3 linked regions of the Diceros bicornis minor genome follow. The protein of the gene in region 2 purifies or fractionates together with the protein of the main gene of each other region. This does not show direct contact. Links are inferred from orthologs where the notes say so. Each region holds a gene or a part of one and is shown on either strand. Other genes may lie near its edges. The genes, in order: UBAC2, TBC1D15 and UBXN8.

Region 1 (10,693 bases), on a different chromosome or scaffold from region 2:
TGTCTGTCCATTAGAATCTCCTAGGGATGCTCTTAAAATTCAGACTTCTGATGCCTACATTAGCCCTTCTGAATCTGACTCTCTGGGCATGGCAGCCAGGAATCTGGACATTCAGAAAGCTGCATGGTTGATTTTCTGCCAGGATGCAGGCAGCATTTGGAAAACACTGCTCTCATCACCAACAATAATCTCCCATCTTCCCTCCCAGGGAAAGGTGAAGCATTCCCGATTTGTGCTCTAGATCATCACCTGCTGCATCTCAGGAATTTGCTCTATCATTCATTCCAGTCTGTACTCCTGAGGAGGAGGAGCCTTGGCCACTCCTCAGTCTTCCTTTCAGGCTCCTCCTCTTCTCCCTCTTCAGGTTCTGTCCCCAGTTCTCCTCTCACCTGCCCTCTGAATGACTTCATTGCACATCTCTTAGGAACTGCTCACTCCAGCCATCATCAACAATCCTCTAAGTCATTACCTCCTGCCTCTCTGCCAGGCCCCGCCTAGGCTCTGTCCTTGACAGAGGCTCTCTCTCCACTTGCATGTCTGACAAACTCTTATCACTCAAACATCCACTCAAACATCACCTACATTGAAAGGTCTTTAACAACTGTGACTCTACCCCCACTAGCCCACCCCCTTCAATAAACCCATGGCACCAAGTACAGAAGTTGTTTAATTTCTTTTTAAAAATTTTCCCCTCTAGGGGCCGGCCCAGTGGCACAAGCAGTTACGTGCACACACTCCACTGCAGTGGCCCGGGGTTTGCCGGTTCGGATCCCAGGCACGCACCAACACACTGCTTGTCGAGCCATGCTGTGGCGGCGTCCCATATAAAATAGAGGAAGATGGGCATGGACGTTAGCCCAGGGCCAGTCTTCCTCAGCAAAAAGAGGGGGATTGGCAGATGTTAGCTCAGGGCTGGTCTTCCTCACAAAAAAAAAAAATTTTCCCCTCTAGACACTGAACTCCTTAGGGTGGGAACTATACCTGTAATACATTAGACATGCAATTATTGTTGGTTGCTTGGTTGCGTCCATCGTTACACAGTGAATATATTGTGAAGTGAACAAGTATTGGGAACACCTACTAACAAATGTAATAAATATACATCTATTATTCAACACATAGCTAGCACTGGTAGCACTGGTCTATAAGCAAGGAATCTAAAATAAGTCTTGAACATGATTCCTTTGCACTTTTATCCAGTCACAATCGCATGACTGGGCAGACCGCAAGACAGTTTCAAACACATGGTCACAAATGCTCTTCCCTTGATTTATGACACCAGCTTTCTTTAGAACTTTGAAGACGCCCTGCTGTGCCTGTTTCAGAGTCTTTGTGCTTGCTGTTCCATTTCTGCAAAATGCACATTTTTCAACAAACTCTGACATCCCTGCCTCCTTCACACCATTTGGATCTCAGCTCAAATGTCACCTTCTCAGATATCTTCCCTGACTACAATGGCAGTGGTCCACCACAACCTCAGTCTATGTCACCACCCTCTTATTCTCTTCATAACACTTATCACTATGTGAAATCACATTATCTGTTAACTTATTTGATGTTGATCTCCTTTTTCCTGTTTACCACTTTATCCTCTGTACACGAACAGTGTGTGGCTTATATGGGTACTCAACAGACACTTGTTGAATGAATAAATGAATGAGAGAGAGAGGAAAGCAGAGTGCAACACTAAAACACCATTATCTACCAGTCACGAACTGTGGGAAATACGCAGGTGGTAGGAAATGGCAGAGATTTTTCCCTCGAAAAGACAATGTCATTCACCATTCACGTGGGCAGAGGTAGGCAGAATTATTCTTCCTCAGAAGACTTACTCAGGACCAGAACTTTGACTTACTAAAGAGCCACACTTCTTATCTAAAGGAAATCACTTCCCTCTCAGTGCGTAGCCTTGCAAAGAAAATTTTAAAACAAGATAACTGCTCACCCCTAGACTTACCAAAAGACCAGTCCAGGGAAAACTGTGCCTAAACTCCACCATAAGCACTGTAAACACTGGACCAAGACTTGTTCAACATTGTGCTCCCAGCACCTAGCACAGATGCTCAATTGATGCTCAAAATGTCTGTTAAATGGGCACATAAGACACGGCCTTCTGAGGGCTGGTCATCCCATCAACTCTTATGCTGCAGATACACTTTAGAAACAGGGCAAAACAGCTGAGGAGGAGCTCTTGGCCCAGGCCCTCTCCCTGGGCAGCAGTTTGGTTCCTAGATTTCAATATTCATCCACCCTGTGCCATAGGGAATAAAGTATTACCTTCCCCAGAGTCACCCTGTCTCAAATTTGAATAACCTTTGCCAATATAACGGCAAATAACGGCATAGTAACCAATAACAGATTTCTCTTGCCTTTGTAACTTATGTATGTTGGTCAGCAAGGAAGGATAGCTCAAAATGCTGAAAGACCAACTTAAACTGAAGGATTCCACCATTAATTCCATATCCACCAGCAAATGCTTCACTGTGTGATCCCAGGAAAACCACACCACCTTCTTGACATCAGTTTCAGCAGTTATAATGTTCTTTATCCAAAGGGTAGTTTGGGGAAGACTAATTAGCTAGTAGTTGTAACCTACTCTGAGGCCAACGCTTGAAAGATGCCATAAATCAAATTAATTATGAAACAAGGGAAATCATGAATAGTAAACCCACTTCAAAACCCGGGAAGTTGAGAAATGAGGAAGATTTAAAATTATGCCTATGGATCTATACTAACTCACTCTGAGACGAAGACATGTATTCTCAGAAAAAGGTTACTAACATTCACAACAGATCTTTAATATTTGGAAATGTCAACTGCTTCTGTACTTGGGCAAGGTTAACTTCACATGTATAGAGATATGAAGTACTAACAGTGACAAGCAATTGCAAAATCAGAGCTGTTCAAACAGTCCACTGTTGCTGTGTCAGTGCCTCATCTCACTGCTGGTTAGTTAACACACAGTCACCTCACCAAAAGCCAAACAATTTCAATGAGAAAAATAAAGCTGTTTAAAAGGCTATAATACTTCTCTGCCCTCTATCTGCTGACCACCGCTGACACTCAAGTAAAACATCATAGCAGCAACGTCCCCACTTTCTTGCCAAACAACTTCCTTCCACTTTAAAGTACCTTAATCAGTCTTTCTTTGTCTAAAAACTCTTAAGTGGGCCTGAGAAAGAAAGAAATCTAAGTAAAACTGAGGGGTCAGCTCCTGAAGCAGGGGTCGGGACTTGCATCTGGGGGAGAGCCAGCTCGGTCCTCTGTAGCCTAAATGAATGGAGTAAGGGAGCAAGAGCAGGGGGCAGGCGTCCAGCATCGCCTCCACCGGGACAGCCTCTCTTTTCCGCCTGGCACACGCGCCGCCGAGGGCAAGGGGCCGGGTCAGAACACCAGGGCACCCAGCCCGGCCCTAACTGCCCAGTCCACTGGAGCACCTGAGCATCGCACCTGGGGCTCATAGGTGGGGGCCGGGGCTGGCGGCGGGACTCAGTCCCCCCTGGCCCCTCCAGGCTGAGGTGGGGGCGGTGCCTGCTGCCCCTGACGGGCAGGAACCACCAAGGCTCGGGAGCGAGGATGGAGCATCGCCCCCAAATCCTCCTGTAACCCCGAGAGTCCCCGCCGCCCCCAGCCTCCTCAAGGAGGTGCGCAGGGTGGCGTGTAGGGGACAGCCAGGATGGCGGTGGCCGGTACTCACAAAACCCACTGGAGCCGGTGCTGGTGAACATGGTCCCGCCGGACCCGGAGCCCCGTGGGGGGACAGGGGAGGGGAAGCGGAGGTGGAGGGACCTGGCGACTGCGCAGGCGCACAGCCGGCGGGACGGCGAATCCGGAGACTCTATTCCATTCCAGAGGCCGCCTGTGAACGGCGCATGCGCGGCCCGTGGGGCACAGGGCTCTGTCCGCGGCTCCCTTCCTGCCGGGAGAGGGAGGTGCGTCCACAGCGGGAAGAGTCCGCCTCTCCAGGTTTTCCCGACGGCCGCGGGTGCCCTCGGGAAAAAGAATGGCACGGCGTGGGAGGAGCGGGGGTGTAACTCCCGTGAGGCGCACACTGGTGCTGAACGCCCCCCACACGCCCTGTGCAGCCGCGATGGCAGCGGATTCCTCTGGAATGCCGGCGCGGGGACATTCCTCACGACTTCTAACCTCTCCCCGGACGGGATGCCCGGCGCCTTCCACGCATGCTCAGTCTTTCTGGGCCGTCCCCGGGAGCTCGCTCCCCAGCAGATTGTTGATAAACTGTCTCGAGTTCCGGTGTCCAGTCAAGGGCGAGAAGCCGCTGTGGGGATGAAAGGGGAGCCAGAGCTGGGCGACCCTCCCCGTCGCGGAGAGTGGGGTGGTCCAGCTGCCCCGTTTTCCCATGTTGGTCCCACGCGGAATCCCCACAAAAAGCGCCGAGAGTCATGGTTCCGGGACCCCAACCCCTCCTCACTGCGGTGTCGGGGGTCCCAGGCGTGGCGAGTCTGTGGGGAGCGACCCTGCTCCCCAAACTTCTGCGCCCGGGCCATTTATGTTTTCCCCTTTGAGAAATGAAATTACTATTTGCTAAAAGCAAAGTCATGATTTTTTAAATGAGTTTGAGCCTGAAAACTTTACGTTTTATGTTACGCAGTCGTTAAAGAATACGTATTATGGGGAAGTTGAACAACTACAAGGCTAAATGAAAAGGACAGGCTACAAAATTATGGACAGCATACTTTTTTTAAAAAAAGACGTTTTGAGTGCTTTTAAGGGCCAGGCACTGTGCTAAATCTGGAGTTTGTCGATCAGTAGAACACAGTCTCTGCCCTTAAGAAGGGGTGCCAGTGGGCAGAATTATTAACACTGATCATTTCTACAAGACAAGAGTATATGTGCCTTTTATTTTCTGTAGGCTTTTCTTTACTCGTAAAGTTTATGATCTTGAAAGACATTTTACATTTAACGTTAGATTCATTCAACTGAGTCATTTTGCAATGAAACGATACTTTAAAGGTCCTTTGATACTTTAAATGTCGTTTATGTTTGCAGAAGCTGTTGGTTGGCTACAAAACCTGTGAACAGTGGTTCTCAAAGTAGGTGTGGGACCTCCCACCCATTTAGGGAATCCAAAAGGCCAATTTATTTTCATAATGATAATAAGACATTATTTGTCTTTTTTACTCTTATTCACTCCAGAGTATACAGTGGCGTTTTCCACTGTACAGTTGGAAGGGTTGCATAACTTAGTGAACCAATACTTTCCAGTTGACCAAAGCGTGATGTTACAAAATCATGCATGAGTAGAAAAGATCAATTCAAACTGTAAGATAAACCAACAAGTTTTAGTGTAACAGTACAAAAAGTTCATTGATATGGTTTCAGAGTCCTCATTGCAACTAATCTTTAAGGAACTACCACTTCTTAAGTTATGGTGTAGTGTCAAAAAAGAACAGCCATATTACCTGAAAAGACTATTAAATGCTTCCTTTACCAACTACATATCTGTGCGAGGATGGATTTTCTTCATATACTTCAACAAGAACAGTGTATCACAACAAACCGAAAGCAGAGGCAGATCTGAGGATCCAGTCAGACGTTCAAGACGTTTGCAAAAATGTGAAATAATGCTATTTTTCCCCATAATTTTTTGCCTGGGAAAGCACGGTGATTTTTCATAAAAATACGTTCATTATGTTAACATGTAGTGGGTATGTTACTGTTATTTTTAAATGAATTTCATAATTTTTTTTAATTTCTCAATTTTAATTTCTAATATGGTAAATACAGATAGATATAAACCCACATTAACAAAAGCTTTTGCAGTTCTCAATTATTTTTAAGAGTGTTAAGGGATCCCAAGACCAAAAAGTTTGAGAACTGCTGAAATAGGAGATAAAGCACTCTGAAGCTTAAAAAAACAAAGACAAAAACAAACCCTTCACTTATTTATGTTCAATTCTACAAACATTCTTTACAACTAAATGCCTGATAACTTAATATGGGATGTCGACCTTGCTTAAAAGTATTTTCAGTGACCCATACCTTGAATGTACATCTGCTCTGCACTGAGGACCTGTACATGTTGACTGTAGAAGTCTGTGGGTTTGTCTTCCAAGAAGCAAGTGTTGCTGTTGGATGGGCAGCGTCAGCCTCACCTAGGATCTTGTTTGGACTAGAGTTCCAGGCCCTACCCCAAACCTGTTAAAGCAACATTTAATAAGACCCCAGGTGACTTGTATGCACATTAAAGTCTGAGAAGCTCTATTGGTTCTCAACAGGGGGCCATTTGGGCCTCCAGGGGACACTTGTTAATACCTGGAGACATTTTTGGTGTTACAATTGGGAGAGGAGTCGCTACTGGCATCTGACAGGCAGAGGCCAGGGATGCTGCTAAACATTCTACCATACACAGGGCAGCCTCCCACAATAAAGAATTCTCTTGCCCAAAATGTCAGTAGTACAGAGATTGAGAAACCCTACACTAGTGTAATTCATCCAATCTTTATCATGCAGTCCCAGACTCTTAGTGTATATCATTTCTATTGTCCTTGCCTATGCTTCCACCTGTCTCTTCTCTAGATTGTATTATGGGAAACTCATTGTGTCAATTACTAGGAATCACTGTTTGCCTTACTAAGTCTTGTTGAACTTACTAAGTCATGTTGAATCTGCTTTCTACACTGGGGTAATAGTGATAAGCTTGAAAGGGTGAGCCCTACCAGGCAGGAATGTGTTTTACAAAGTGTTGTATCCTACCCAGTTTGAGTCTCTTGGTGTGAAGTCATTGTCTTCCTTTAATAAATTAAAACACAGCATCTCTAAGGTATTTAACATCAGAAAGAAAATCTGCAGGTGAGTCCTGGGGGAAAGTTGCTGACAAAACATCCCTGATAAGTGCCCCTTCCCGTGTATTTCACCCTGCCTTTAGCATAGCGTTCCTTTCATATAGCAGAGATAGACTGAAAGTTTTCCTAAAGATTACTAAATAGTAGAGGGGGCCAACAACAGCAACAAAAATAAGAATCACAAACTTCTAAAGTATCAAGTTCTGAACAGATGACAGCTACTGTGACTGGAACTGCTGGGCCATATCCTATTCCATATTCTGGCAGGGGAGTCCCTTTCTAAATTCCCAGGGATTCTAGTCAGCAACCTTTGGGAGGAATTAGTAGATATTGACTAGGACTGATGGTCAATCCTTGGATAAAGTAGCCTTCATACTGCTTCAAACGAACTTTCAGTATATAATATCTATGAAATTAATATTTATGAGAAAATAGGTCTGGAAGCTTTTTAAAGAGTAGTTACATCTTTCTCGTGATTCATAATAGATGTTTACTGCGCAGGGAGCATTTTGAAAATTCATAAGGGTATTTTCGATGGTCACAATGAATTGGGAGATGCCACATGGGGTGTGGCGATGCCAGACACGATCTTTTCACAAAAAAACAAATTGTTCTCTTTCCTAACTAACTTTTGACTCTCCCACTTCATGCTTCTTAGGTAAGTAAAAGCGTGTTTGTATTTATTTGAGTCTAGGACCAATTTCATTTTACATGTAAACATGTGTTCTTTGCAGAGTTTTAATTCATGCTGAATTTTCCAGGAAAGCAACTTATACTGTTTTGGCTGTTATTTGGAACTTAATGAAGAGCTGTTCACTAATTCAAAACACCACACCACCTACAACGACCCTGTTCATTGCATTTGAGTCACCAGTATCAGTTTACATTTATGGCTGGTGCATTCTTAGTGATTTTTTATCTTTCACAAAGATGTACAAATTTAGCCCTTATTTTAAAAAATACATGTAATTTTAAATATTAAGAAAAGGTATTGAGAATATTCAGTTGAATATATGAAAGAGTCCATATTGACATAGTTTTTTTCTAATTCATCTAGATGAACCCACCAAGATTAAGTGAATACCTTATAAAGATAGACAGAGTTGGCAAAGATAGAAACTTCAGCGATTTAAGGAAAGTTTGAAAACATAGTATTGTCTCTGAAATTTTTTTTAATCTAATCTAAAGGACATAAGGTACCATTTCTTATAGAATAGCACAAATGATAGCAATGTTTGTTAATCCAAACAATATAGGAAAAAAGTTAATTTTATCGTCTGTATAAGAGGTTATTATTATGAGAGTAAGAAATTTAAATGATTTCTTCTATTCTGTTGAGCAATAATGTTTTATGTAGAAGGATCTATGAGGAATACAAAGAGGTAGAAAATGGGCTATGAAATGATCTAAAGTTGGGAAAATGTTTGCTGCAAGTGAATGCAAGTAACCTGTATGATAACATATATTATCATATGTATGTTTCAGGCTTTGCTGACCACAGATGTAAGCTTCAGGGAAATAAAAACATTGAGCAGAAAATTCATTTCCATATATACAAACAATGGATACTAAGAGTTGTCAATATTTGAAGTTCTTAAAAACTATTTCAAAAGAAAACCTTTTTCCTTTTCCAACGTCATTGTGCACCAGATGGAGCAGCCACTGTGGTCAGCTTGTAACAGGGATTTGTAAACAACTTAAAAGTAGCAACAGCCGTGTTAGCAGGTTATTGAGTTTTTCATCCATGACCTCAGTCACCAAAAATCTTAGTGAAAGACCCGCAAATCAATGAATGTTATCAGTGCTAGTAATAAAATTAGTGCCTTGAATAAGAGATTATTTTGTAGTCTTTGCAATGACTGTGAAAAGAGTTTGTCTTATCCTACATATGGAAAGAAGATGGTATTCCAAACAAAATTGTTTTAAAATATTTTATTTATTCTTTAACACTAATGTGCAGTTTTTCTTTCTTTCAACAATGAAAAATTAAATAATGGTATCAAAATATTATGAAATGATTTGACATATATTTCATATGTATCAGAAATGTTAAATGAAGTCAAACTGCAAGGAAATGAGATTGATATTACTAAAGAGGAAGGAACTGTCATGAGATTTTTCAACAAATTTACATCATTTTAAGAGAAGATTTTTTTTTTGGTTTTTTTTTTTAATTTTTTGTTTATTGCAGTAACGTTGGTTTATGACATTCTAAAAATTTCAGGTGTACATCATTGTACTTCTATTTCTGCATAGATTACATCATGTTCACCACCAAAATACTAATTACAACCGATCACCACACACATGTACCGAATTAGCCCTGTCACCCTCCTCCCTCCCCCCTTCCCTTCTGGTAACCACCAATCCAATCTCTGTCCCTATGTGTTTGTTTATTGTTGTTATTATCTACTACTTAATGAAGGAAATCATACGGTATTTGACCTTCTCCCTCTGACTTATTTCACTTTGCATTATACCCTCAATGTCCATAAGAGAAGATTTCTTGCCCAGAATTTTCGCAATTCCATTATCTGTAGCAGATATAACTCAGTCTAAGGATACTGGTTTGGGATTATATTGCTAACTTTGGTTCTATTTAAAAACATAAGGATTAGATCTAAAGATCAGTATGGATTTATGATATCGGATTAGGTGATTAATCCACTTGAAAATGATGCAACATATTAGCCAGTGTTTGCAGGAAGTGTTAATTGAGCTAAAAAATGATTTGGGGGACAAAAGAATCTAGTTATAAGAAGTTTTTGATTCCGCTAAGACTTTCATTTGCCCTTCTTTAAAATGGGAGCCACGATATTTATTATAGGATTTTCAACCGCATATTTAGGTGAAGAAGGTTTCAGTGCACTGGAGCAGTTCCTGTAAAAGCAACAAAATGTAACAGAACATTTGAGATTTCTTTTAGCAGAATTAGAACTTCATTAAATTTCATCAATCAAATTTTTAAAAATATTTCAGACTATCACCAACTGTTTTAGTTTGGGTCTCCCCCAAAGCGGACTCTGAGACAAAGTTTCAAGTTCAAAGTTTGAAGTTTGTCTGGGAACGGTCCTAGGAAAGACCACTGGGAGAACGGGAAGCGAGACAGGGCAGGGAAGGATGGAAGCTGATGGAGGTGAATTATCAGACAAATCAGCACTGGACAGCTGGAGCCAGCGCCACGGGGTCATTCCCCCGGAGAGGGAGGCAGCCAGGGTGTCTATCCACTGCCGCCCATCAGTCACTGAGGGCTACCCCTAAAGGTGCAGTTCCCCAGCACTTCGGGCCCTCACACGAGTGGGCAGAGGCTGTAGCGGGCAGGGCAAGCCCTCAGGCTAAGAGCTGCTGTCGGGAAGCATGCTCTGACACGGTTAAGGCTCAGGGGATAGGAGAGGGTGCTGACAGATTCGCCTGCGCCCTCCTGCTATGGTGTTCATAGCATGCTGGTAAAAAAGCTATGCTAAGAAAATGACATATGGAAATTATGATGTGGGGTTTTTTTAGGGAAGTGAAGAGGTTGGTTTGCCTTTTTTTTTTTTTCAGTCTTCCTCCAGTACCCAGCTTAGAAGTCCGCCACGTCATTTCTCTAGAGCTTTTTCTTTTTCCAATTCACGTTTCCCGTCATATATCAAAGGATGTGGTCTCGAGAATCTAAGTTCTAGAGCTGGAATGTATGCCCTAACATGGGGTGGGATTTCAAAACAGGAGATCAATTTTCTGTAAAACTTCATCACTACCCCTTCAAAACATAGGGAAGTATTTTTAAGCCACTCAATAGAGCCTGTCACATTTGTGAGACAATCACACTTCCTCATCTTCTTCACCCTGACCATCCGCTCTTTGTCAGAGGCTAAGTGAAGATTACTTCTGGGAGGCCAGCCAGGTGG
Region 2 (10,358 bases):
TGATGAGTCAGTCTACAGGTCTTCAGAACACAATCACTAAAAATATCACCCACTTCAAGGACTTGAAACTCATATTGCATTTCTTATTCAGTCAAGGTAAAGGGGTGATTGTTGGTGCATGTTTTCCTTCTGAAGAAATGAAGTCTACACACTTCAAGGTAAAGGGCTATTTAATGTATCCCCAATGCCTAATACAGCACCTGGAAAAAACTAGATGCCTAATAAATATTTGTTGAATAAGTGAATGAAAGTAAACTGTAACCATTATCAGGGGCACTGGGTATAAGGCTAAAACCTCCTCTCTCCCACCTTCTCTAATTGGTAAATTCAACTCATTCTATTAACTCAACTCTGTTCACCCGTTAGAGAAAAAGTAGAATGGCCTTTACAGGCAGTGTCCCTATTTCTCCCCCAGTATTCACAAGAGGATGTCACTCTTTCCCCTGTTTGATTGAGTATGAAAACATATGGTTCTACACATATATAGCAACAAAGAACAGCTGAACTCTAAGAACTAATTAAGGTTTATAATCAAACTCAAACTCACTTTCAAAAGCTCAGCTAAAAAAACAATATACATGCAAAACTGAGTCCATCACACATGTCAACAAAAATCTACCCCTGAATTTAGTCAAAGCATCAGAGAACTGAATATATCAAATTGGTACCCCGTATTTACTGAACTACTGAACTACCCACTGGCATAAAACCATCAGCATACTAAGGGGCATTATAGGGTACTTTTTTTTATCAGAAGGATACAATATGCCACATAATCAGATTCACTATATTATACACTATAAAGAAACTACAGGACTTTACTCTTTGATGTAATCTTCAGAAACTAGTCTTTTGGGTTTCTGCTTTTGGTTTTACTTTCCCGTGGATCCTATAATGCTTATAATTGATCAAGTTCCCCTCTTTACTTTGGCTGCTAGAAAACTTAGAGCCAAACCGTAGCTCACTAAAGCATACAGTTTATTTAATAATTGTACTTCCAATTCCTTCTACCTTTCCTACCTTTATTTACTTTCCGTTTGCTTCCTTTTTCCCCCTAATTCATTTTACATGACTATACTGCTTTTATATTTGTGGGCAGCCTTAATCTCTTTGTGGAAAAAGGCAGCAAAAATAAACATCCAACTATTTCCAAACGAATCATAACCTTAAATCTTAAGACAGTCTGAAAGACCTTCCTCAACAACAGTAATAATAACAGCTAACATTTATTGAGCACTTACTTGACACAAGGCACTATTCTAAACTTTGCAAATATTAACTCATTTAATCCTTTCTACAACTCCATGATGGAAATATAATCATCATCCCCTATTTTACAAATGAGAAAATTGGAGCATGGGGACATTAAGAAATCTGTCAGAAGTAACACAGTTATAAAGAAGCAGAGCTAGGGTTTGAACCCGGGCAATGAGGCTCCATCTCCTTAACCACTGCCCTATTGTGATGATTTTGCAGTCATCAAAACTACATGACTTCTAGCCAGCTTGGTGGCCCCGGTTTGTTGCCCGGTCACAGAACCACACCACCCATCTGTCAGTTGCCATGCTGTAGCAGCGGCTCACACAGAAGACCTAGAAGGACTTACAACTAGGAAGACTGCCAACAGATGTTAGCTCAGGACAAATCTTTCCCTGCAAAAAAAAACAAACAACTGCATGACTTCTAAAACAAGGCATTTTTCAATTCTTAAAATAACAATGAGAATTAAAACTAGAAGCAACCTCAAAAATAAATTTCACACCCATACTAAAAACTGCATTCTAAATCTTGAAAATTCTGCCATACCCAACGAATGATTTGCATGGAATTTAAGATGATGAATAACACCTACACAGCATCTGTTATGTGCCAGGCTTTGTTCTAATATATTTACTTATTAATCCTCCCAACAATCCCATGAAGTAGGTATTATAATCATCCCCACATTACAGATAAGGAGACTGAAGCACAGATAGGTTAAGTAATTTGACTGAAGTCACTAGTAAGTGTCAAGTTAGTTTTTGAAACCAGTTTAGCTCCAGAGTCCAAGCTCTTAAATCTTTCCCTGCTTCTCCCTATGACAGAGATTAACTTCCTCCTTCCATCACTTCCTACACTCAGAGTTCAAAGTAAGCAAAGAAGACTTACTAGAAAAATTACCCTAAATCCTAGATCTTAACAGTGAGAAAGAGATTCTAATTCAACAGAGCTGGGTTGTGGCCCAGCATCAGTATTTTTTAAAAGTACCACATATGATCCTTGTGAGCCTTGGTTAACATCCACTGCCCTACATTTCTAAACTAGACAGGTCTTAGCTGAACCTTTAGGGGGGAAATAAATAAATACAGACACACTCTGAAATATATAGATTCTTCCCTGTTCCCCATTCCCAAAGAAATAAGACTGGGAAGCCGGGAAGCAGAGGATAAAGCCAGAAAGGTAACATGGCTTTTTATGTCATGTTAACCAGCCCCGAATATTATTTCCATGGTAAGAGTAATAATATAAAGATTTTTTGTTTGTTTTTTCAAAGCAAGAGACAATCAGATTTATGCATTAAAAAAATAACTAGTGGTGGTGTAGAGAGGACTGTGGGCAGAGACTGGAGACAAGGGGAAAAATCAGCCAAGAACTCAAGATTAGAGGCTGACTAAAGGCCTGAATAAACTAAGCATTAAAGAGGATGCTGCAAATTTAAGAAAACTCTTTAAGGTTAAACTGGTAGGACCTGGTTATTGATTAGATGTTATTATAGAAACGCACGTCTCTAAATTTGTTTTACAAGCAACCAAATGAATGATGAGGCCATTAAACTAGATCTGAACTTACAGAGGGAAGAATAAGTAGGTTTTGGTGTTCATGATAGTATTGTCTGGAAGAAGGACAGCTTTTGGCATGGAAAAATAGTTTACATGGAGTGATAGAAATGGTTGTGAATTTGCAATTAGTGAGAATAAATGAGGTGATGAAGCAGAGTTATGAAATAAAAGACTAATTTTAAGTCAGATTATGAAAGGTAGTGGCTTGAAGCAAAGGGTGAAAGAAGTCTTACATTTCACAACTCTGTGTCATCACCTTAAGAGTTCTTTCAAAATCAACCCACATCTGAAAATGGGAAGTGTAGTTCAAATGGAAAGGATCCATTCTTGCAAAGACATGGATTGGATCAGTCAAGATGGAATATCAAACAGGATAACCTTCAAATATGTAGTGAGTCAAGCAGACAATCAGCATCCACTCTCAACACCAAAACTGACAAGACAACCAAAGAGCGTGAATAACCCCAAAACGATGACCAACCTATTATTTCAAATACCGAGCATGTAGAAGTATGTAATCTTTTTTTGATGCTTTTATTATTTCATGTAATCGTAACAACTCAAATCCAAGACATAATGACTGGCATCCCCTCCATTCTGGAGATAAAGAATATGAAGGACAAAGAAGTCATGCTTCTCAATTTCCCAAGGTTACATGTCAGACTCACAGCAACACAAAGACCAACTGTTATTTTGCCGCCTAGTCTAGTGGTCTATACACCAAACCACAAAACGATGTCAAATAATTCAAAACGGGATAGGGAGAGGAGTATGGAGAAAATAAGTGCAACTCAAGGAATAGAGGGAGTACTACGACAAGGAAATAGTCCTTAGCGTTGAATGAGTCATTACCAGACGCCACTGTTTAGGAAGTACTCCCGCAATGGGAAATGCTACCAGTGGCATGTCACGACAGTCCTAGACAACGGGCATTAAGATGTGCCCTCGGAAGGGTAACAGGCACTGTACAACGAAACCTCCTCCGCCCCTAATCCTAGTTCCTAGCGAACCGGAAGGGGGATCACTGCCCACTTCCGTAAGACAGCACCACAGACACTGCCGCAGGAACATCAGAGAAACATTTAGGAAATAAGTACCTTAACTAACGCTTCCTAGACACGCGTGGGATGGTGTAAATCTCCAACTCCCTGAGTGGAAACATGCCCTCCTGCTAACAACCAACAACCGACTCGGCAGTCTGGCCACATGGCTCCAACACACTCTTCTAAGCGCACAACTGCGGAGCACCTGTTTTCAACCCTCATCAGAGGGAAGCAGAGGAAGGCAGGGCAAGTTAGATTACCCTCAAAGGAACAGGGAAAAGACGAAGGAGTCCGAAGAGCAGACAAAATAACTCGAGTCAGAAACGGTGAGCCAGAAAAAGAAAAGAGCTAAGCCACCACTCGCCCTCAGGAAAGGTCTCAGCACAGCAGCAGCCACCGCCCCGCGCAGGGCGGCCAGGCCCGCGCCGAGGCCGGCTGGGGGCGCAGGAGCCGGCTCTCTACCCTCGGGCCGAGCCGGCGCCCCCGGGAGAACGGCTGACCCCACCAAGTCCTCTTCTCCCGCATCCGCCGCAGGCTGCTCCTGATACGGAAAGGCCCCCGCCGCGGCCTCCAAGCAGCAAAAGCACCCCCATCCCAGGGAAAAGCAGAGGTGGCCCTGGGCCGTTACTCACCTTCCCGCTCACAACACCCGCTGCCGCCATGTTTCCTGCGCGTGCCTGTGATGACGTAGCAGCGCCTCACGTGTCTGTTGGACTCACAACAACATCCGGTGAAACTGAGCTGACATCCGGGCGGGAACGGGGCGGGCAGTGGCGGGAAGGCGCCAGGGAAGGGGCGGGGCGGGAGGAGGGCCTGGCGCATGCGTGCTGAGTGGGCTCGGAGGCCTCTGGGGTAGAGGCTCTGACGCATACTGCGCGTGTGCCAATTTATTTTTCCTAGGCGGGCCCCGCCTGAGTTGGCGTGTGTTTGCCCTGGGGCTTGCCAGGGGGCGAGATTTGTTGTTGGCAGGCCGCTTCAGTTCAGCATGAGGGAAACACCGTATTAGGAGCTAGCAAACCTGGTCCTGGCTTTGCGGCCACAGGCAAATCACTTCCACCTTCAGCCTGGTTCTCCTCTGTAGAATTGGGATCGTGGGGCCGCGGTGAAGATTTAGGGAATCCCAGCCCTCCATCAGAGGCACAAACGCGCAGAGACCTTTCCCGTCTGTCACTCGCTGAGTGCCCCTCACACGTGACCCTCAGCGTGGTGTTTTGGCAGGAACTGATAATACCACGCCCTCGCTGCCTAGCTCATAGCTCTTGCAGTTACTTAATAACTGTGTGGCTGAAAACAAGTTTAAATTCACGCAAGCTTTCAGGACGTAAAATGAGAATTACCCATAGAGTGGTTGTAGTGATCTTATGGGACAATGATGTGAGGTTAGATGATTTGTTGAGATATCAAGATATTACCTTGCTTTGTTCTCAGCGCTGTAAAAGAATGTCAGAGAATGGTTGGATACAACCCTAGCTCTGGCACAAGATCTGGGACTTTCCTTGCCCCAGGGCAAAATAAAAGTCCCTTTTGTACCCCAACACCTGTGCCCATTGAGGTACTTCTCTCATCACAGAGTGGAGAGAGATTAGAGGCTTCTGAGGTTGGTTAAGTGGCAACCAAAGAGAATAACAGAAAAAAAGGGTTGCATGTTCTGTGAATATTGGGAACGTCACGGGTGAGAGAGGTGGCAGGACCTTAGATGGGAATGAATGTGTAGCACCGTTAGGGAAGCTGCGCACTAGGCGTGAGAGATCCCAACCATGGCCAAGACCGCAGGCCTGAACTTGACATTGAATCAGCAAAGCAGTTCACCTGCAAGGGATAAATGAGCTGGGAAATGACTGTATTAGTGGGAACCAGCATTGAGTGAAGACTTGAAGGTCTTCCCTAAATGGACTGGACTGAGGAAGACCCCTAGAACCTTCACACAATCCTGGGTGTGGTGTATAAAGCCCTAATAACCCAGATTAAATTTTCCACCAGCTCAGAGTAATGGGTTGTGGTTAGAGAAAATTTTTAGTGTGACATTTATTACACCAGTGTTCTGGAGAAAAGTTGAAGCCCTTACCACAGTGTCAGGAATAGAACACTCAATAAATGGTAGCTAGTATTTGTATAAGTTTGGGAATTAAAGGCTTCTCATTGAAAATTTGGCATCCTACATTCATCAGCTACTTCCTGATCTTCTCAAGCCTCACCCTCCAACTGCCCCTTAAATGCTGGTGCTACCCATGGGCAATCCTTGGGCTTCTTTTACTTTTTTTCCAAACACATTCCTGAGCCATTATCTTCATATTCTGGCATCACCACCTGCTATGTGCTAATGACTCTCAAATAGCTCCAGGCTGAGTCTCTCTTTCTTTCCTAAACTCTAGAGCCTACACCTACTGCCTGCTGGACGGTGTTACTTGACCCACTCACAACTCAAAAAATCCTAAACCTTCACTACTCAAAATGTAGCCTGCAGACACGTAGCACCAGCATCACCTGGGAGTGTGTTAGAAATGCAGAATCTCGGGTCCCACCCCAAAACTACTGAACCAAAATCTGCACTGTAACAAGATCCCCAAGTGATTTGTGTGCACATTAAATTTTGAGAAGCACAGCCTTAAATGAAACTTAAATTTTGCTTTTGTTCTCTGAAAATTACTGGCATTTGCTGAACTAGAAATGCAGTCAGAGCGCAATTTCTCCAGGAAATGGTTGCTATTATGTTACCCCTTTCTGATATGTCTTCTGGAGAGCTCATGGGAGATATCCCCACTATGTCTCTCCTCCATGTCCCCACTACCACTTCCGTGGTTCAGGTCTCTCATTACCTCTGGTTTGGACAACTACTGTGGCATTGTAATTCATTCCCTTGCTTTCTACTTCATCTACCTCCTAACCCATTTTTCATATCCCTGCTGTATTGATCTTTCTAAAACATAAATGTGATCCTGTGAACTCCCTGCTTAAAATCCCTTAATGGCTCCCCATCTCTTGAAGAAAAAGTCCAAATTCTCCAGCATAGCATACAAGGTCCTTCATAAACTGTTCCTGCCTACCATTTTAGCTTTATCTCCCAACTTTCCCCACTCAGACCCAGTTCTCCAGCCATAGCCGAATATCTGCTGTTCCCTGAATGTGCCGTGCTGCATCCCAAGATTGCTTCTGACTGAGGCAGATTGACTTGGCCTGCATCATGGGACCATTCCTGAGCCAATCCCGTGGCCCGAAGGATGTGATGTTCTGATTGGCCTGATTTGAATCATATGCCCACAGCTCCGTTCAAAGTACGTGGAATGAGAGGAAGAGTATTTCCCAGAGAAAAATCCCGGAACCATTCCAGAAAAAAAGGAAGTAGCTGTTGAGCAAGCCAAAGCAGACATCAATTACAGAGGCTCCATTTCTGCACGCCCAGGGTATCATAGTGTAAAATACTTGGTGATTTACTGAACTGCTTTCAAGGCAGGGAGGGTGCTTTTCATTTCTGTGACCACCAAACCTAGCACAAATGCCTGATGCATAGTAGACACTAGATAAGGGTTTGTTTAACAAATTAATTTAAATCAACTCCACATTTAGAAATGGCACAGTTATACTTTACATTCAAGAGGAAAGAGACCATTTTCCTTCTTTAGTTATATTCTCTGTCTATATGCAAAGGAAGGAACTAGGTCAGGATTTCAACATAGTTTGTTTCATATTTTAGTTTTTTACTATATTAGAAAGAAAAAAATCATAGTGCACTTACGTATAACAAGGGGACAAGTTTTTTAAAGCCGTGTGCCTATAAATTTAATGTAAATAAAGTCATCAAGTTCCCTATAACTTAAATTACTGTTTTCATGAGAGTGGTTTTATAGTTTCTAAGTTCACTCCCATGAACTACATAGTTATTCACTAATTAGAACATCACTGAAAAAGTCATATGATGCAAAAGAATCTTAATAAGTACCTTAAAGAAACTTTAGACTCAGGCGGGACTTGAGAGATAGTCTCCCCAGGTTTTTCGGTTGAAGAAATTGAGTCTGTTAGACATTAATGATTTGCCAAAGTCATGAGCTGCTTTATGGCTAAATAGAGACTTCATTACAGATACGTGTCTTAGTCAGCTGTGCTACACTATCAGCTGAAAGTGATCACGCCCATCTCTAAACTACAGCGATTAATTACCTGTTCAATCTGATTCTGTCCACCTCAGTTTCTGATTGACCTATTTGTCTTTCAAGATTTATGATGACGTCACACATCATCTATTAAGATTCCCCCAACTTTACCACTACTCATTGATCTCTACCTTTCCTGACCTCTTGAACAGTCAGACTAAAAACTTTGTTTCAGTGCCTAACTATACAAAATAGTAGCATGAAGATAGCATATGCTTTGCTGACAGCCAGGAGACTGCAGGATTTCTCTCTGGATAAATTGACAACAGAAGAAATCAGACCTATAGGTACTGACAGTTGGGGATCTCCATTGAAATGACCCAACCACATCATCCTACAGTGAAGAACAGAAATCAATAAACTCCACCTATATCTCTAAAACTTCCAATCAGCTTTTGGTTCTGGTCTCTTAAATATGAAGAGCTAACCATGGGTCACTCCACATTTGAAGAAAACTTGCAAGCTGAAAGGCAAAGACCAAAATGAACAAACTAACAAAAAAGCAATTGAAGACAAACAAACAATGCAGAGAACAGAATAAAACTTTTTAAGTCTAAAAAATACCTTTATAGAAATGAGAGAAGATTTTGCGTCCATAAAACAAGAATAAAAGGCCATGTAAAGGAATATTCAGAAAGCCAAAATGAGGCCTAAGAAATTAAAAATATGATAACAAATGAAAAAAAATCCATAAATGGATTGGAAGATAAGCTGAGGAAATGTCCCAGAAATTAAAACAAAAAGACAAAACCATGGAAATAAGAGAGAAAAGTTAAGAAATTAGCGCATTAGAACAGGATATCGAATATCCAAATAAAGGAGAGAGAGCAGAGAATATTGAGGAAAGGAAATGATTAAACAAATAATTCCAAAAAATTTCCCAGAACTGTCAGCCATGCATTTTCAAATTGAATCAGCCCACCAAGTGCCCAGCAGAGTAGATGAAAAGGACCAGCAACAAGGGAAATAATTGTGAAATTTCAGAACAATGGAAATTGAAAGAAGGTTATAAAAATTTTCAGAGGAAAAAAACCAACATGTTATATGAAAAGGACAAGAATAAAGATCTCTTTGAACTTGACAGTAGAAACACTGGAAACTGTAAGACAATGTAGTAAAGCCTTTGAAAATATTTTTAACCTAGAATGTCATACCTAACCAAATACTCAATCAAGTGTGAAAGTAAAACAATTCATTTTCAGACACACAAGTTCAAAAAAATTGTGATCTTTTATGCACCCTTTCTCAGGAAGCAACTGGAGGCTGTGTGACACCAAAACGAGACAGTTAATTATGAGAGGGCAACATATTGAATCTAGAAAATGGGAAAAAAACACAGGGGATACAATGCAAAAGAGAATCTTGAGGGCATTCCTGGTGGGACTGTGAAATGGTGCAGCCACTGTGGAAAACAGTATGGCAATTCCTGAAAAAACTAAGCAGAATTACCATATGATCCAGCAATTTCACTTCTAGGTATATATCCAAAAGAATTTAAAGCAGAGACAGATATTTGCACACCAATGTTCACAGCAACATCATTCACAATAGCCAAAAGGTTAAAATAACCCAAAAATCCATCACAGCTGAGTGGATAAACAAAATACATAAAATGGAGTATTATTCAGCCTTAAAAAGAAATGAAATTCTGATACATGCTACAACATGGATGAACCTTGAAAATATTATGCCAAGTGAAATAAGCCAGATACAAAATGGCAAATATTGTATGATTCTACTTATTGAGGCACCTAAAACAGTCAAATTCATAGAGACAGAGAGTAGAATAGTGGTCTAGGGTCACGGAGGGGTGGTGGAGAATAGGAATCATTGTCTAAGTTTCAGTTTGGGATGATGAAAAAGTCTGGAAATGGGTAGTGGTGATGTTTGCACAAAAATGTGAATGTACTTAATGCCACTGAATTGTACACTTAAAAACGGCTGAAATAGGGGCCAGCCCAGTGGTGCAGCAGTTAAGTGCACACGCTCCACTTCGGCAGCATGGGCTTCCCAGGTTAGGATCCCAGGTGTGCACAGACACACTGCTTGTCAAGCCATGCTGTGGCAGCGTCCCATAGAAAGTAGAGGAAGATGGGCATGGATGTTAGCCCAGGGCCGATCTTCCTCAGCAAAAAAGAGGAGGATTGGCATCAGATGTTAGCTCAGGGCTGATCTTCCTCACCAAAAAAAAAAAAAAAAAGCTAAAATAGGGCCAGCCTGGTGGCATAGTGGTTAAGTTCGCATGCTCCGCTTCGGCAGCCTGAGGTTTGTGGGTTCAGATCCTGGGCGTGGACCTACACACTGCTCATCAAGCCATGCTGTGATGGTGTCTCATATACAAAGTAGAG
Region 3 (10,443 bases), on a different chromosome or scaffold from region 2:
AAAGTTCTAGAATAAAAAAAGGAAAGAAATTTCAGTAGGAAAGTATAAAAGGGTAGCATAAACAATAAACTTACCTTTCAGATAAACTGGGGAAGATTTAAATGAGTTAAGCCATGAGGTAGTCAGAGAAATAATTAAAGTAAGAAGAGCAAGCAGTAAGAAAATCCGGCCACACAGCAAAATTAGATCTTTAATTCCTGATAAAGGTAAAAAAATAAAAATTACAATTAAAATTCAAAACACTCTTCTTGATACTAATAATAAACACATTAGAAGATTATTTGTACTAGAAAAGTACAGTTAAAAGTTGAGTCATGCAACTGTATTACTATTTTTCATATAGGCTCCTTTGGGTGCCAAAATTCATCTTGGTTGTCATTACCAGAACAAGTTTTCAGAAATTCTAGAACATCTTCTGTCTCACGTACATAGATAAAATTCAAGTGCCTGGCTACATTATAAATATTATGACTGTCAATAATGCATAAATTCTGGTTTCCCTTCTGCCCAGATAAGGAAATAAAATTATCCACATAATTAGGAATTAAATTGTGACGGTATCATCTTGTCAAATTCTAATTCTATTTAAAAACAGTCATTCCCACTGAAACACTAAATTCTTACTTCTCACAGTTAAATTATGCAACTGTATACTTCTCTATTTCTCAATATTTATTTGGTCATTTGTAAGTAAAATTACTATATACATGTTTGCCTAGGAAAAAAGTAAAAATTCAGTATTTGGTTTTATATTAAGAACAAAGATGAAAATTAAATCAGCAAAAACGTAACAAGTACCTGCTTTGTGCAATACAATTTGCTAAATGGTGAAGGAGGGGATATACAAGTTCAATTAAAAATGGTTTCTATCAGGAATTTTTACTCTTGCTTTGTAATTCTCAAAAGTTACGAGGCAGAGGTGCACAGGAACCATCTTACCAATGTGATTGGGGCTGGTACTTAGTCAATTAACTAAAAATTAAAGAAGGAATTATATATACAGACTTAAATATTTCATTTTTAACTGAAAACTGATAAGTATGCTATCCTTTTTTTAAAGCAATTTAAAGTTGTTTAGAGAAGAAATGCCAGCCCTGGTGGTCTAGTGGTTAAGACTGGTCCTCTCACCACTTTAGCCTGGGTTCGTTTCCTGGTCAGGGAACCACCTCACCCATCTGTCATTTGCCATACTGTGGTGGCTGTGTGTTGCTGTGATGCTGAAAGCTATGCCACTGGGATTTCAAATACCAGCAGGGTCACCCATGGTGGACAGGTTTCCGCGGAGCTTCCAGACTAAGACAGACTAGGAAGAAGGATCTGGCCACCCATGGCCATGAAAACCCTAAGGATAGCAGCGGAGCATTGTCTGATACAGTGCCGGAAGGTGAGAGGATGGTGCAAAAAGACAGGACAGGGTTCAGCTCTGCTGTATAGACTTACTAGGAGTCAGAATCGATTCGACGGCACTAACAACAAAAAGAGAAGGAATGATGTTTTTTTTGTGTTACAGCCCCTCTAATTTTTGCCAGCATTAACTACTGATTCAGGTGTTGTTCAATACAACACAATTAAATCTAGAGTTACTCTGGCCATTACAAAGGTAATTTTAATACCTGGAGTACTGGTATTTAGAGAAACCATTGAGTTATGGGATTCATGTTCCATAATATTGCTTTTTGTTCTAACAAACAAGCAATTTGCAAATGTCAGATGGGAATATAAAAGAACTAGATTTGTGTGTACACCTTTCAAATACAGTCATGTGCTGCATACGATGTTTTGGTCAACAACCGATCACATATATGACAGTAGTCCCATAAGACTAGTACCATATAGCCTAGATGTGTAGAGGCTATACCACCTAGGTTTGTGTAAGTACACTCTGTGATGTTGGCACAACAACAAAATCGCCTAACGACACATTTCTCAGAACGTATCCCTGCCGTTAAGCAATGCATGACTGTAAAAAATTTTTAAGTTGACTTGTGTGTGTGTGTGTGTGTGTGAGAGGAAGATTAGCCCTGAGCTAACATCCGTTGCCAATCCTCCTCTTTTTTGCTGAGGAAGACTGGCCCTGGGCTAACATCCATGTCCATCCTCCTCTACTTTATAGAGGAGGCCGCCACAGCATGGCTTGACAAGCGGTGCATTGGTGCGCACCCAAGATCCGAACCTGTGAACCCCGGGCCGCCGAAGCAGAGCGCGTGAACTTAACTGCTATGCCACTGGGCCGGCCCCTTAAGTTTTTTTTTGTACCTATTCTCAAGAGCCCACGTGCAGGGTTCTTCAAAGGATAACAAATGTTGAGGAACCAGCATTAAAATATTTAGCTTAAGTACGAGTAAAAATGTATTGGCAATGAAGGCTTTTACACAGCAGAAAAATATAGCGATTATTTTTCAATATATGTCCAAAAACACAGCCCAGGTGAAAGAACAGGTCTGGGAATTCCATTTTCCCCTCTGGGAATTCAATTAGCAGCTCTAGCTGAGAATATTAGTATCTATAAATACTGTTCCACACAAAACTAGCCCTGCAGCTGTTGCACTGGAATGTATGATTTGTAAAATAGACTTAAATACTGTTACCAGATATTTGCAGCACCAACATCAAGAAACCACAGTAAATAACCACCAGTTACAACTGAGAGACAATTCTAGGAGAAAGGAGTTAACTAAGTGAAAATTTCAGGAACTAGATGGAGATGCTGCCAGGAGCCCAGTTCCATTTTCTAGAATTTTTGGCCTACTTTTATTAAATTAAACATTGTGATAAGTGATGGGAATACAAAAACAAACTAGATGTGGTCTCTGCTCTCAAGAAGCGTATTTCCCTGTGGTCAGAGCTGATCGTGGTAACAGATCTCCTTCCTCAACCTTCAGTAACCACCTTCTCATTGACTAGTGACTCAAATATTAGTGCAAAGTAGAAGATTCTCGATGAGCAGAGTAAGGGTGGATGCCATAAAGGCAGGAGAGCAGGTAAATTCTGGAATAAGTGTGAAATTAACATTTCTGTATATCATTTGGATAAAGGTCTTGTTAGATTCCAATACAGCTTGAGTAAGTAGGAGGCTTCTGGAGGGTCTTTGTAGATTTTTTAAAAAGCATTTTATTTTAGTTTCTTATTTCAAGCAACATTTCTGGGTACCTGACTTCTTGGGTGTGGGGAGGGAGGTGGAGAGAGAAAGAGAGGAAATATACAAAACTAAGTTTCATCATGGTCTCTAACTTGAGAACTGAGCTCAATGAGGGAGACAAACATGTAAACTGATCCCTAGTATGTCCAATAACGAACTGATTCTCCACAGGTCCACCATTTTCCTTTAGTTTTCCCCTTATCACTGGCACTACCAACTACTTAGGGTTGTTCAACCCCACATGTAGGAGTCATCCTTGAATGCCTCTTTTCCCTCACCCCAAACATTAATCCATCAAAAAATCCTGTTGATTCTACTTTGTAAATATCCCAAACCTGTGCACATTTCATCTCCTCTGATATCATCCTAGTCTAGCCATCATCATTACTTGCCTACTTCAAAGCCTAACTTGCCTCATTGCTTCCACTATAGCTTCCTTCCAAAACATTCTCCACACCCATTCCGGTGACCTCTTTAAACCTTAGGTAAGTCACTTCACCTCCCTATGTCTCAGCTTCCTCAACTGTAAAATGGGGATTATAACAGTACCCACCCCGATGGTTGTAACGCAGATTAGATGAGATAATGAATAAACAGCACTTAAGAGTTTGGCTTATAATAGGTGCTCAATGAATGTTATTATCTTGAGCCACTCTCCCTCTAAATCTCCTTGGTCCAGTCACAACGGTCTTCATCTTTTTCCTCCAACATGTCATAATTCCTTTTGTCTGTCATGTCCCCCTCCCCATCCCGCTTTTCAAAGGGGTGGCTCTTTTTCATCATTTGAATCTTTGCTTAAATTCCTCAGAAGGCCTACATCACATCACTCTGTTGGTTTCCTTTTGAGCTCTCAACACAAGTAGTGGCTATGTTTGTTCCTCCGCTTTCTGCCTCTGTCCCCTTACACGCAACACTTCACCAGGTCAGGAGGCACACTTTCTCCGCCGAGTGGAGTCGGCCTCCGCGAGGCTGCGGGAGACTCGCTCCCGGAGGGACCCGGAAGCCGGCAGAGGGAGACAGCGCGACGCAGCCTGGGAATCGTAGTCACAGCCGCCCAGAGGCGACGCGGCTGGGAGACGGCAATTCCTCGCAACCGTCATCGGACAGTTACTCGATGCTGAGCGCCAAGAGGAGAAAGCCAACACTTACCGAGATCCGGGATCCCACGCCGCAGCTCCAGACACAAGAGCGGGAGAGCAGAGAGGAGAACAACACCAACAACCCCCCGAAACGCCATGGTGGCGGGAGCCCCGCCCCCGGGCGGAAAGCCCGCCTCTTCCGGTGGCACCTTCCCTTGGACGGTGGAGTGGAACCCTTCCTGAGGGAGGAATGTGGAGACCGACCCTGAGGTTGGGTCGTTGGTCGGCCCTGCCTGTTTGTGAACTCATCCACAGCCTTATGTCAGAAGAAGCACACGTCACATGGTGTCCAGGGGAGACGGCCCCACTGGCGCCCGCCTGGCCCAGTCCTCTGACAGCGAAGCGCGGGCTCTAGCGAGGCGGCTCCCTGAGGCAAGGCCGGCAGCGCCTGCCCCTTCGGCCGTGAGACTGTTGGAGGCTGTGCGAAAGCTCTCAAGAGTAAAATGAACTGGAAGAGAAAGTGTACGGGCAGTTGACGCTGTGAGGAGGCAGCCTGGCCTCTTGGCCTTGTGTCCGTAGAGGGTGATTGTGGGCTTTGGGGTCCGATCTACTAAGCACCACTCTTCTGAAGCACCTTATCTCCCTCACGGTTCCTGGCCCCTTCCAGGGTCTCTGGTTCCTGTGGGAAGACGATTCAAAAGTGAGCCCTGGCACCCAGTTCCAGATCCTGGAGACCCGCCACCCCTTGCTCCGCTCCTTGTCAGTTTTGCCAACAGGTGTTATTCTGTGACGTCATTGCCATCCCCTGACTCACCTCTATGGCGCTTCTGCCAACCCGCAACTCAATTAAGCTACGGAAGTCCTCGCAATTTATAAGATTTCATGCTTTGAAATCTTGTTTTCTGACCCATCCTTCAATCCTCCCACCTCATGCTTCAATTTAGTTCAACTAACATTTATTGAGCCTCACAATTTGCCTGGTACTGCAGAACTCATGGAGATTCAAGTACGTGTGAGTTACTGAATTTGTCCTCAGGAAACTCAGTTTAGTGGGAAAGACAGCCCTGTAAACAGATAAATACAGTGTCTGAGTGCTATGACAGGGATACGCACAGGGTGCTACCCAATCCTACCCTGAGGACATGGCGGAAGGCTTTCCCAAAGGAAATCATGCCTAAATGGTGTTGTAGAGGTGAGGAAGGGGGGTGGGGGGAGAGGACAATAGGAAGAGTGGGATTTTAAGTTTAGGAAACAATGCAGAGGAACTACCAGCCGTTCAAATATTGCAGTTTAAAGTTTGAATGGAGGCCCCCAGAAGTAGGTTGGAGCTAGCACGACAGAAGACTGTGCTTTGTATATAGGCTAAGAACTTTATTCTGGGAGTGAAGGTGCAAAATATGAGGGCACAATCTCAAAATCAATCGGGATGAAGTAATATAAATTATAATATGACATACCAATTAAATAATTAGCTATGTTGACTCATTCAGAGGTTCTCATTTGTTGCCTGCATGAACACAGGAAAGAAAGGAAGTTCTACAGCTCTCACTGTCCTCATGTTGGTATGATTTCCTCCTTTAGGTATTTCTTCCTCTCTGGCTTTCTATATTCCTAATTTAATCTGTCAATGGCACCAGTGAAATCTCTGTCAGAACAATAAAGTGGAGACTCCCAAGTACTCTAGATTTGCTTGGAGTCTTACACATTTCCCAAACTTTGTTGATGGTGAAATCTCTTCACTGCAATTGTGTACTGCTCACTCCTCCCAAAAGATCACTAGAATAACCTGTTCTGAGTTGTTGACCTTAAAAATAAGTCAGTTATTTTACCAGCAAAAGTGGGTTTATTATGGAACAGCAAAGAATTGCAATTCTAGCTGGGCAATCTACAGTGAACCACAAGCAAGTCTGGAGAACAAAGGAGAGGAACATTCTATTATAGAGGAGAAGGTGGCTTTTGATTGGCTGAGTCGTGACAATCTCTCATTGGCTGAGCTGTTGCTGGGCAAGGAGAGAATCTTCCTTCCTCCTTCTAGTAGAGTAGAGTAGTATCACTTCCTGCAGGAGATGCAAGGTACCTATCTTCCTGTTGGGGTCTGTACTGATGATGAGTCGTAAATGTGTGAGAGCTTTCCTTGATCCATTTTATTTATTTATTTATTCATTCATTCATTCATTCATTCATTCATTGGTGAGGAAGATTGGCCCTAAACTAACTTCTATTGCCAATCTTCCTCTTTTTGCTTGAGGAAGAGTGGCCCTGAACTAACATCTGTGCCAATCTTCCTCTACTTTATATATAGGATGCCACCACAGCATGGCTTGATGAGCAGTGTGTAGGTCCACACCTGGGATCTGAACCGGTGAACCCTGGGCCACTGAAGCAGAGCACAGGAACTTAACCACTATGCCACTGGGCTGGCACCATCCTCACTCCATTTTAAATGAGGTTTCTGTTTATTATTTTTCACAGAGTAAAACCAAGTTTCTCACTTACTGCATTTAGGGAGAACACTATTTTGAGATAATCTTAGTCGTGTTTCACAGGGGTGGTCAAGGGTGATTTTTATAGGGTTTTTGGAGTCTAGATTGGAGTAGTTTAAGGTGGCCTTTTCCATGCAGGGATCTCATTGGGATTGGATATGGTGCATGGTCTAGTAGTTTAGGACTGGTGCACCCAGCAAGATGAGAGACTTGAAGGCAGATTTGCCCCCTTTTTTGATAAGGAAGGGGATTTGTCCAGTTGAGTGATCAATGCAATTTCTCAGTCTCTGAGAGGGAAGCTTTTTACCCAGATGAGCAACCTATTGTTCAAATAAATGGATTTTCAGGGAGTTTCTAAAGCTAACAGTGAAATTATGTACTGATTTACAGCCTATCTTTGTGGGCAAGAATTTTTCTGGAACAAATAGTCAAGTCATGTTGACTGATGTAAGGTCTTAGTTCTTAGCAGTGCTAATTAAGCTATGGGCTACAGATGTCTCAGTTCTCACAATAAAATCTTATGAACACCGTTGAGTACGGTATAAGACAGGGGTTTTTATATCTAGATAGTTTATATTAAACCATTCTCTATTAACATTCTTTTTTGTGTGTGTGTGAGGAAGATCAGCCCTGTGCTAACATCTGCCAATCCCCCTCTTTTTTTGCTGAGGAAGACTGGCCCTGAGCTAACATCCGTGCTGATCTTCCTCCACTTTATGTGGGATGCCGCCACAGCATGGCCTGACAAGCGGTGCATCAGTGCGTGATGGGCATCCGAACCTGGGCCGCCAGCAGTGGAGTGCGCGCACTTAACTGCTACGCCACAGGGCCGGCCCCCTATTAACATTCTTAAAACACAAATGTCACATTTTTCTTATTTAACAAGTGATGCAACCTGTTTTCTTTATGTGTAAAAAAATAGGATTGTCAACACATTTTAAAATTACTTATAATCATATTTGGTTGGGGAGGGGCAAATGTTTATTAAAATGTAGCCTCAATTGTAAGTATTAAGTGTATCCAAGCTGCTTTTGTGACCTAACATTTGGAATTTTTGCATTTAAAAAAATCAACTAGTTAATTTTTGTCAATATTTTATTATGAAATTTTTCAGACATAAAAGTTGAAAAAATTTTACAGTGGGTATCCATATACCCACCATATTTTATTATATTTAATCACATATCTATCAATCTATCCATTCATCAATCTATCTTTTTTTGATGGATTACAAAGCTGCAGACATTAGTACACTTCTCCCAAATACTTCAGCATGCATATCATTAACTATATCATATGCATATGCATACTTCTTACGATATGCATACTTCAGCATGCATATCATTAACCACAATGAAATACACATCTTAACTGTACCATTCCTTGAGTTCCAATATAAGCATTGTTGAAAGATAAACTGAGGCATATTAAAAGTGTTAAAAGTTTATTTGAGCAAAAATCAGTTCAAATCAGGCAGCATCCAATCTAGCAGATAGAAAGGAGCTTTGTGGAGCTGTACAAATGAAAGACTTTTATAGCCAGAAGGGAGCAGGAACAAGGAAGTTATATTAGCCCAAAAAGCGGGTTGGTTATTGCACGATTACTTTCCTTTAGGCGATGGCAGGGGTCTATCAGACAGATTACCTAACTAGTGCTGATCAGGTGGTTCCATTTCTGGGAGAGCTGAAACTGTATTGTCTCGGTTTGATGACACGGGGCTTAGCATAAGTGACTCCATTTTGGGCCTGTTGTCTTGTTTTTCTAACAGCATACACTAGTGCAACACATTTCACTATCAAAATACAAAACTTTGCCCAGAAGGTAACCATTGTTTACTTTGATTAGCTTTGCCTCTTCTAGGACTTCTATATAAAAGGAATTATACAAAATCTACCCTTTGGATTTGATTTTGTTCACACAGCATTTTTTTAAACTTTTATTTTGAGATAATTATAGGTTCACATAGAGTTATAAGAAATATGACAGAAAGATCACATACATTTTTTACCCAGTTTCCCCCAATGGTAAATTTGAGCATGACCAAAGTACAATATCATAAACAGAAAATTCATATTGACACAATCCACCAAACTTATTCAGATTTTACCTGTTTACTTATATTCATTTGTATGTGTGTATTTAGTTCTATGCAATAGTATCACCTGGGTTGATTTGAGTGACCATTACCAGTCAAGGTACAGAAGAGTTCCATCACAAGAGCCTCTCGTTCTACCCTTTTATAGCCATGGTCGCCTCACTTTCTGTCCTTCACCACCACCAAACCCCAGGCAACCACTAATCTGTTCTCTATCTATTTAATTTTGTCATTTCAAGAATATTATGTAAGTGGGATCATACAGCATGTAACCTTTTGAGATTGGCTTTTTTTTTACTCAGTATAGTCTCCTTGAGATCCAAACAAGTTGTGTATATCAGTATTCATTCCTTTTTAATGCTGGATAATATTCCTTGGTATGAATGTATCATAGTTAGACTAACCATTCACCTGTGAAGGACATCAGGTTTCGCTATTATGAATAAAGCTGTGATGAACATTTGTTTATACGTTTTTTTTTAAAGCTTCAGTGCATGGTTGTGTATCCTAGTTGTTAGTTTAGTTCTCTATGTGAGCCACAGGATGACAACTGACAGATGGGTGGTGTGGTTCCATGACCGGGAAATGAACCCAGGCTTCAGCAGTGAGAGCACTGAATCTTAACCATTAGACCACCAGGGCTGGCTCTACAAGTCCTTGTGTGAACTTAAGTTTTCATTTAACTTAACTTCATTTAACTAGGATAAAATGCCCAAGAGTGCAATTGCTGAGTCATCTGCTAAACACACCTTTAGTTTTGTAAGAAAATGCCATATTTATTTTTCAGAGTGGCTATATCATCTTATATTCCCACCAGCAATGTATGAGTGATTCAGTTTCTCCACATCCTTGCCCACATTTGGTATTGTCACTATATTTCATTTTAGCTATTCTGGTGGATATGTAGTGATTTCTCATAGTAGCTTTAATTTGTGTTTCCCTGGTGACTAATGACATTGAGGACTTTTTTGTGTGCTTATTGACCATTTATTTATCTTCCTTTTCAAAGTGTCTATTCAAATCTTTTTAATTGTGTTGTTTCTCTTTCGCATTAATGAGTTGTAGGAGCCTTGATACTGATATCAAACCTGAAGTGAGTTTGCTCACCTGTCACGCAGCAAGCCAACCTCTGACAATGGGTGTAGTCTAAGAAAGTAGGAATTTTATTGCAAAGCGCTGAGCAAGGAGAATGGGCAGCTAATGCTGTAATCCCGAACTCCTCGAAAAGCTACAAGCAAGGGTTTTTATTTGGGGCTTTACGTAGGGGAGGAGCAGCATGTGGCTAAAGTTTACAATCAGTCATTGTAGCTTCTCAGTGCTCCAGTGAGATGCTTAGTCAGTGAGATGCTTAGTCAGGCGGGGAGCTGCCAGCAAGTTCCTGTCTTAGCAGCAGCCCTTCTGCTCTTCTGCAAGTCAAGCTCAGAAACTTTGGTTACTCTGTTTCCCACGTTAACCTTGTGGGTACAGGCACAGTTTCACCCTAATCCAGGGAAATTTTAACTCCTTCATCCTCAGTTTCAATACCAGTCAGATCTAAGTTTTGTGACTATTTCTCTCAGTCTGTAACTTACCTATTCCCTGTGTGTGTGTGTGTGTGTGTGTGTGTGTGTGTGTGTGTGTGGAAGATCAGCCCTGAGCTAACCTCTG

What was found.
Region 1: the proteins of TBC1D15 (region 2) and UBAC2 purify together in Homo sapiens (affinity purification with mass spectrometry; 3 studies listed by BioGRID and IntAct, counting the BioPlex papers as one, with this or other methods). This does not show direct contact. The link is inferred for Diceros bicornis minor from reciprocal best matches to the Homo sapiens genes TBC1D15 and UBAC2.
Region 3: the proteins of TBC1D15 (region 2) and UBXN8 purify together in Homo sapiens (affinity purification with mass spectrometry; 3 studies listed by BioGRID and IntAct, counting the BioPlex papers as one, with this or other methods). This does not show direct contact. The link is inferred for Diceros bicornis minor from reciprocal best matches to the Homo sapiens genes TBC1D15 and UBXN8.

Annotation. Positions count from the first base shown.
Region 1 is NC_080748.1:75,200,276-75,210,968, reverse strand, and holds the start of UBAC2 (ubiquitin-associated domain-containing protein 2), read right to left. Parts: upstream 4,158-10,693; 5' UTR 3,729-4,157; coding exon 3,698-3,728; intron 1-3,697. UniProt on the Homo sapiens protein: Restricts trafficking of FAF2 from the endoplasmic reticulum to lipid droplets.
Region 2 is NC_080764.1:46,924,440-46,934,797, forward strand, and holds the start of TBC1D15 (TBC1 domain family member 15), read right to left. Parts: upstream 4,574-10,358; 5' UTR 4,525-4,573; coding exon 4,495-4,524; intron 1-4,494. UniProt on the Homo sapiens protein: Acts as a GTPase activating protein for RAB7A. Does not act on RAB4, RAB5 or RAB6.
Region 3 is NC_080768.1:28,408,886-28,419,328, reverse strand, and holds the start of UBXN8 (UBX domain-containing protein 8), read right to left. Parts: upstream 4,415-10,443; 5' UTR 4,377-4,414; coding exon 4,289-4,376; intron 198-4,288; coding exon 75-197; intron 1-74. UniProt on the Homo sapiens protein: Involved in endoplasmic reticulum-associated degradation (ERAD) for misfolded lumenal proteins, possibly by tethering VCP to the endoplasmic reticulum membrane. May play a role in reproduction.